Drosophila melanogaster: one gene and its partner. The protein of the gene in region 1 binds, or shares a complex with, the protein of each later gene. Each region holds a gene or a part of one and is shown on either strand. Other genes may lie near its edges. The genes, in order: PolD2 and PolD3.

Region 1 (3,864 bases):
TTTTCCAGCGGATTAAGGGACTTGGACACCACAGGGAGACGCTCTACGAGCACTCCGGCGTACAGGTCCCACTTTTCCGCGCTGGCGGTTGACGATTGGGCTCGGCTCAACTCCCGGGCACCCACTTGGACAATGCGACGCAGCATTTTAATCAGTTTAATTTAATTTTTTCGGAAAATAGAATGTTGACCACCGATTACATGAGCACCAGAGCCGGAACAGCTGATTTGCGGCACAGTTATCGTTATCGGAGAGCGCGTCGCTAGCCTCTTGCCACAATTAGTATTTATTTTGTTCTGTTTGGAGAAGTTATCAAGGAAAGACTGCTAAAATGTCCGGTCTGGAGTCGTATATCAATCACACAGTCTCCATCATTACGGCAGACGGACGGAACTTCATCGGGACACTCAAGGGATTCGACCAGACCATCAATATCATCATAGACGAGTGCCATGAGCGCGTCTTCTCTACCACCTCCGGCATCGAGCAAATCGTGCTGGGACTGCACATCATCCGGGGGGACAACATCGCGGTGATCGGACTGATAGACGAGACCATCGACTCCCGCCTGGATTTGGCCAACATTAGGGGCGAGCCGCTGGGTCCCGTGGTGCACTAGGATAGCGAATAAAACCAGTGATTCTCAAGACTTAACAGGGTGTATTATTTGTATTAATGAAGTTTCTTATTCTGCATCTACGCTAAAGTTGACCATGCGGCAATCCAGCGTATCCAGGTCAACGACGGCCACACTCTGTGTTTTGCTAAAACTGGGCACGCAGACTAGGCGGGTGCGCTTGCCTTCGGAACCCTCGTGCAGCTCGGTCGCAAACGACTCGCAGTTGCCGGCGTAGTAAACGTGCGGACACTCGCGCAGGATGAAGGGATCACTTTCGATGTACGGGTAGCACGCTAGAGTGTCCGGTGCAGTGGGAGCAACATGTCCCCAGGTGAGGGTGCAGCGAAGGGCCTCCAGCGCCGAGTCCAGCGAAGTGCTGCGCAACAGATCCGATACATTCTGGCCAGATGTGCCTACCACCAGGGCCTCATCCAGCCGGCAGCTGTACGGATTAGTCACCGCCTGGAAAGTTGCCAGTTGAGCAGCCTGGGGAAACATGCACTTGTGGAACGGCTGCTGGGGCAGCATAAAGTTGGCCGGGTCGTAGGGTCCCGGCATTATGTCGACGGGCAGACTGCGTGCCCATGAGGCAAACCACTGGTCTAGCTGGGAAACGGCCTGGACTGTGTCATTTGCGTTCGCCTGGGTGCGTGCCACCTGTAGGGTGGGCACATGTGCCATGGCACTGGCTCTCACCGAGTTTCCAGCCACGATAAGACGCACCATGGAGCCCGCTTCCTTGTTGTTTCCAAGACTGCCGGCCAGCCAGTACTGAAAGAGATTCAATGCCTCCACAAATTTGTGGGCCTGCAGTTGGTCCAACCCAGACGCCAGCACCAGGAGGCGGCTTCTTTTAATGGGGGCCAGTGGCTTCTGAGGTCCACTTTCGTAGAAGAGTATATCCTCCACGTTAAAAAATCCGTCACTGTCTGTTCCACCGAGGGCAGCGCACACAACTCCAGTGGCTAAGAGCTGTCCATTTAGCTTGCCCTGAAGTCGAACCCGCTGCAGTTCATCCTCCAGAACAATCTTGTCCTCCGGATCCGAGTAGTTCTGTCTTGGCGGCTGTGGCGCTAACTGATTCTCCTCAGAAATGTCCCGGAGGATACTGGGCTTGTGAGCCTGGTGCTTAAAAATGGTGCCGATCAGGATGCAGTGCACGTCCTGTTCACCCCGCAGCTCACACAGTTTTTTGATGGGCTCCTTGTTGCCCCACTTCTTCTGGGCCAGCGGCGTTAGGAGACGCGTCATCTCGGCCAGGCGGTGGGCATACAGATGGAAGAACTGCTTTTGGTAGTCATGTCCCTTTAGCCGGAAAATGCTGCTCAGGTTCTCGTATTTGGTCTCCAGGCGGTTGGTCATGATTCCGTCGATATTTTTAGGAGCAAACTAAGTTATATTCCAAGACGCTCGTTTACTTTTGAGCGCCAATTTGTTACAGAGAGGAGAGGCTAAGGCAAACAGTTTTTCTTCAATCACGTTGGTAATGTTAGGGAAAATTTCTTAGGAAAACCAAAGTTTTTTTGGCTTGGTAACATAAGAAGTATTCGCTTTTGAATAAGAAGTATTTTTTTTTGTTAATATTTTATTATTAATAATTTTTTATATTTAATATTGACATTTATAGTAACTAAGTTCCAGTATTCACTGTACATTCAATTCGAATCGATAGCCGATAAGCCTTAACATTGGGTACAGCTGGATTGCACAAATCGAAAAGTATGTGCAAAGCCTATAACTTATTTTATGGAAAAAAATCGCGTTCATTGCTTTTTTGCTCCTGAATAAGGTGGTGCAAATGTATGCCCATTTACGCATTTTACTTTAAGTTTAAATAAACGCGCTTTTATACAAAATTGATATCCTCCTATCGACTAACGATACCAAGTTCAACCAACTGATATCGATTGCCGATAGGGCCTCTGAAACCCTATACTATAATATACTTTATTTAATCCCAAAGTTTTTTTTTGATTGTGGTAAATTTGAAATGCCCGGATGCGCTGAATCTAGCCTGAAAACGCGCCACAGGGATGTGGGATTCTGTGACTGAAGCCATCGGAGCAGCCTTTCTCCTTCCAGCCGTCGTTCAGTGCTGATCTGGGCGGTTCTTCAGGGCTCGTATTGATTTTTACGGTTTCGGAAGTGATACGCACTTCGCCGTCTAGCGATCTTCCCCGGAAACTGCGTCGCAGGAGATACTAGCATGACTGTGCAGTGTTAGACGGCCGTAAAGGGAGAAGCCAGAGCAATGGGCGGCTCCGTGAGCCAGGTGTTCCGATCCGGATCCGCACTCCTCTCGCATCGCGACGGAAAGCTGTCCAAGGCCACCGAGGAGACCATACAGACACTGTTTGACATCCTGCGCGCCAATCCGAAGGTTTCCCTGCAGACCCTCGAGAGCCTGCTCATCCAGATCCCAAAGAACGAGAATATCCTGGCCATGCATGACGACTATGGATACAACATCCTGCAGCGCAGCGTCGGCCTCAACCACATCGATCTCACTAAGTGGCTGCTGCATCGCCACCGCCCGGACGTTAACCGCTCGCCCTGCTCCCTGCCCCTGCACATCGCCACCCTGCGTGGCTACGAGGAGTGCGTGGAGTTATTGCTTCGGCATGGCGCACGTATCGACGTGGACACTCGGATGTGTTTTCCTGGCGCCCACACGAGAAATTGCGAGGAGAGCGGCAAATGGCACAACAACGTGGACGATGTCAGCGAGCGGCTAAACACAAAGCTACAGAACGCGCTCTTCTATGCAATCGACGGAGATCAGTACAATGTTCTAAGCTTGCTCACCCAAAAAATGGAGGAGCCGTGGATCCCCTTCCGCGTGAAAAAGCCCCTGCTCCACTTGGCCTGCGAACGCGGCGCCTGGAATTGCGTCCAGCAACTAGTGGTCACCCGTTCGGAGGAAATCAATCTTATTATGGACGAGTATTACCCGATTCACCATGCCGTGCTTCATGATGGTCGCTTTCTTGAGCTACTCATTCATCAGGGTGCAATTACAACTGTACGCACCTGCACCCAACAAATGACCCTACTGCATGTGGGTGAGTTCGTATTCCCTGAAGAGAGAGATTCTGATGCAGATGTTGTAATAACCATGGCTATTATTTTCAGTTATTTTTGCTGCTCGTAAGTCTGCTGAAGACACGTTGGCCACTCTTCGCATCCTGCTGGAACGAGGATGCAAAGAGCTAATCAACGCACCAGACTCGTTGGGAAACACTCCA
Region 2 (4,284 bases), on another chromosome or scaffold:
CTTGCGAGAGGAGGTGGTCGCTTTGAAGGAGAAGGAGGCTGTGTCCTCGGGCCGAGAGCGGGCACTTCAAGATCAACAAAAGAGTGCCCAGTTGGAGATGGAAAAGATGCGCACTCTTGTTCGGAAAATGCAGAGCCATCTGCAGCTGGATGACATCCGGCATCGCGAAAGTATCCAGCGGATGAACGAGACAACTGAATCTCTGCGGGAGGAGTTGCGCACCATTTCGGAAAATTGCCAGCAAATGCAGATCCGCCTAAAGTAGGTAATTTTCCAGGATAGAGTGCATCCATATAAGAGCAGCTGCCATGTTCTCTCTTCCCGCCAGTCAACAGACCGAAGTTAACCAGCAGCAGGAACAGATTATCGACTCCTTTCGAAAATGGAAGGACGCCCAGGTTAGGGCCGATGAGGCGATGCGTCTTTGCGCCAAGCGGGCCGAGGAACACATCCACATGCTGCTGGACGAAAACCGGACGTTGGCCGAGGACTATCGCAATCTATTCCGAGACTACAAGCTCTTGGAGACGGAGATAAAACGAGTGAAGCAGGCGGTCAACTGCGCGTCCAGTTCGGCGATAAGTTGTCCACCTCCGAAGAGTGGCGGTCTGACCAATCCCGAGGCGGGGAACGATGTGAGTTGGAAATATACAAATTTTTCACAAATCTTTATATGCCAAAATGCCACCAAACCATGTAAAACTTGAATTTTTCCTTAATTTTCAACAAGCCTGTTCCAAATTTTGACGAATTGGATAACCATTGGACTTCTTAAACGGGCAGCTGGAATTAAAATAATACTTTCTAACTTTATTGTCTAACTGGTGTCTATTGGTGACTTCCGCAGATGGCCAGGCGATTGCAGAACTTGACCAGCACCTCGCAGCGGATTTTTAACCAGAATCAGACTATGAACGATCAGTACTGCAACTCCTTGATCTCAGGAAGTCCGGCTGGAATTGGGCAACCGGTGGCCCAATCCATATTGCGGCGTACTCGATCGTCACAGGATCAGTCGTAGGAGTCGCCAGGATTTGCATGCAACTCCTCCTTCCATTTAAAAATCGTTCTCACCCAAAATCTCTATGCCATCAACACTTTGGAGGCGCGTAACTTGTAAATTGTCTTTGTAAATTGTGGTATAAAATAAAAACTAAGTGCTTGTGTAATCTTGGTAATAATGTGATCACTACTGATACGAACAAGGATACAGATGCTTTCAGCTTCTGTGGACGCAGCGAAGCTATTTGCTTTCATCCTGTTGAATAAGTTTGGTTCTTTCGCTGATTGCTATGAGGGCCATTTTGATTTGAGCCCTTTTCTTGACGCTTTCGTCGCGCAGGACATCGGATTGCTTGGTCAAGATCTTTACGCGTGTGTCGCAGAAGCGTTCCGCATCTGGAATGCTCATATCGAGGAACACATTCTTGCCCACATCGACCAGAATGCTATCCATTTTCCGAACGCGAGCCTGCATGAATACGTTGCTGCCGATGTTGACTTGCGTTTTGTAGCCATCTGGTAGGTGGGTGTCGAAGGTCTGGAGGGTGTTCTTCAGCTGGACGTACTCCATGATCTCCTCGTTGTACTGCCCGATGCACTTTTCCAGCTCTCTGAGATCCTCTTTCAGCACCTCGTTGATGAACTCCTCAATTTGGGTGATTCGCGCCTTGTTGGCATCCTGCCTGTAATTGGGTCTTACACTTGCTGCATTCACTTGTATTTTTATCACTTACTCGGCTTGTCTGTGAGCTTCTGTGTTGTGTTTTGGATTTACTTGCATTGTTTGGGCATTAAAAAGAAATCAAAATTTATTAGGATATCTGGTTTGTTTACTTCTCGTTTCTTCTTCTTATCTTTGCAATAGCGGCAAGTAGATGTTATCGATAGATAGCAGTTGTTTCAATTTAGCTATATTTAAGCTAAATGTAAAGTCTATTAATAAGCTCATAATTCAAGCAAAAAAAAGCAACTAAATATATATAATAATTAATTAATTAACTTTAATAAATACGCCTTTTTCTACATTGACAATATGCATAGCAAAGTCACAAATTTTCGAATTCAGTATTCATTATTTTGCTGGTGAGTTTTAGCACTTTTTTTAGTCACATAAGTTGGCACGCCCGCAATACGATTTCGCGCAATTTTAACTAAACAAATTGTCGAAATGTCGCTTAAAAAGGCTCTCGACGATTGCATGATCGATTTCGATCGCTGTGTGCTGGTCACCGATCTTCTGGAGGAGTACAAACTGTCCTACAAGGAGGTGAACGATGTGCTGGAGGCCTACATCAAAGAGCAGGAACCTGCCACAAAATTCGAGAAGAGATTTCTAGTCCATGGCAAGCGTAAAACGCAAGGATCCGATTCCGGCGAAGATCTGTACTCTGTGGTGCTGGAGAGCAGGATGCAGGATTGGCTGGCCAAAGTCCAGGATGCGGAGTCTCAGCTGTATAGTGTGAAAATAGCCGGTGGCACCAAAGCGCCGGCTGCGATTTTCAAGCCCATGCAGCATTTGGAGGTGAAGTTGGCAAAAGTGGAGCAGCGTCCTGGAGCGGGAAAGATAGTGCCCAGTGCAAATGGGACGACTCCCCACAATGGAGTCAAATCTGAACCCACTAAATCGGAGCCATCAAAGTCTGCGGTTAAGTTGGAGCCTTCAAAATCTTCACTTAAATCAGAGCCAGCAAAGTCGAAGGCGGAAAAGCCAGTGGCCAGCAAGTCCTCTCCGGAGGATAAGAAGACCTCGCCCAAGGAACAGGCCTCTAAAGCCAAGCCTGCAGCAGCCAAAAAGGGTAGCATTAATAGCTTCTTCACAGCGGCGGCCAGCAAGCCAAAGGATGTCAAAGCCACGCCCAGCAAATCGACGTCCGGCACCGTGGACAACTTCTTTAAGAAGCAACCGGCAGGCGCCAAGAAGTCGCCACCGGAATCCGAAGATAAATCGAAGAAAGATGCTTCCAATTCAAACAAAAAGGAAGCCTCGAAAAAGAAATCCCCCAGTCCCACCAAAAAGCCAACAACGGCAAACACTTCCATGCAACTGTTCGACGAGGAGAGTGCCGAATCGTCCGACGAGGAGGAAAAGCTGGACATGCTGCGGCGGAAGGTGATCGAGTCGGACAACGACTCCGATCAGGAAAAGGCCTCGTCCTCCAAGCGGCGACGAATCAGCGACTCTGAGGACGAGGAGCAGCCGCCCAAGAAGTCCGCCGATGAAGAGACCATCGCATTGGATGAGAAAATGGATACGGAACCGGCCAATGAAACCTATCTGGATGAAGATGGCTTCGTCATTACGCAGCGTAAACCAACAAAAGCCCAGCCTGCCAACAAAAAGGTTTCCCCAAAGGCTGCTGCTCCCGTCAACAAAAAGAAGTCACCGCCTTCAGCCGCGAAAGCTGGAAAGGATGCGCCGAAAACCAAACAAGCTGGCATTATGAACTTTTTTTCCAAGAAGTAAATGAAAGCAAAGCATGGAGATGTTGCTAAAGTAAGGGTTAATTGTTAAGCATGGAAACAGTTAATGTTTTTAATAAATTTATTTATGATTATTGAAAATAATATATATTTTATGATGGGTTTACAAAAAAATAGCCATCAGCCCATATGAAAAAAACAGTTTGCGTTTGTTGTTAAAAAGAATTTATTGCATTTGTTTATAGCTGCTAGAAGTTGTTTGAGTATCTTGTTTGTAATTTGTATTTCTTTATTTATATAGATTCGCGTGTCTGATTGTGTGTGTGTGTGTGTGTGTGTGGGCGTGTCGGTGTGAATTTTGCCTGGCCTATGCTTTATCAGTGCGTGTTTTTGTTTTTGGTTTTGTATTTGTTGTTTTCGATTTCGATTCGAGATCGAAACTCGTTATCTCCGCTATCGTTATCGTATTTCAAAACACTTTAAAAAATTAAGGCGAGGTTTGAAAAAACACTTGTTTGTTCATATAATTCGAATATTCGTTAATTTAAATTGTTCATTTGTTGTCTTGTTGGTTTTTCGTTTTTCATTTTTAATTTTTGGTTTTTGGTTTTTGGTTTTTGCTTTTCTGTTTCTGCAGTGATTGCGTTTGATTCCTATCTGATTTTTAAGCATTAAAAGCTTACAGTCAGGCTGCCCGATGGCAAGCAAATACATAATATGTATGTAAGTGATTGAGTAAGGGATTTTTTCTCTGTGGTGGATAAAACAATTTGTCGTGTTCGTGGCAAACAATCGAGATCAGTGGCTACGCTTAGGTAGAAGCTTCTCAGAAGCTAAATTAATGCTTACACTTAGATTTGC

What was found.
Region 2: PolD2 (region 1) and PolD3 share a complex: the UniProt entries of both Drosophila melanogaster proteins name them as parts of the DNA polymerase zeta complex.

Annotation. Positions count from the first base shown.
Region 1 is NT_037436.4:1,773,798-1,777,661, reverse strand, and holds PolD2 (DNA polymerase delta subunit 2), read right to left. Parts: upstream 2,030-3,864; 5' UTR 1,982-2,029; coding exon 686-1,981; 3' UTR 643-685; downstream 1-642. Other genes in the region: mRpL46 (mitochondrial ribosomal protein L46), read right to left, coding at 1-146; CG2021 (uncharacterized protein), read left to right, coding at 332-619; CG13933 (uncharacterized protein), read left to right, coding at 2,871-3,681, 3,752-3,864. UniProt on the Drosophila melanogaster protein: Accessory component of both the DNA polymerase delta complex and possibly the DNA polymerase zeta complex. As a component of the delta complex, participates in high fidelity genome replication, including lagging strand synthesis, DNA recombination and repair.
Region 2 is NT_033779.5:15,254,150-15,258,433, reverse strand, and holds PolD3 (DNA polymerase delta subunit 3), read left to right. Parts: upstream 1-2,129; 5' UTR 2,130-2,170; coding exon 2,171-3,466; 3' UTR 3,467-3,615; downstream 3,616-4,284. Other genes in the region: yuri gagarin, read left to right, coding at 1-261, 329-635, 848-1,021; Uxt prefoldin-like subunit, read right to left, coding at 1,244-1,685, 1,737-1,783. UniProt on the Drosophila melanogaster protein: Accessory component of the DNA polymerase delta complex and possibly the DNA polymerase zeta complex. As a component of the delta complex, participates in high fidelity genome replication, including lagging strand synthesis, DNA recombination and repair.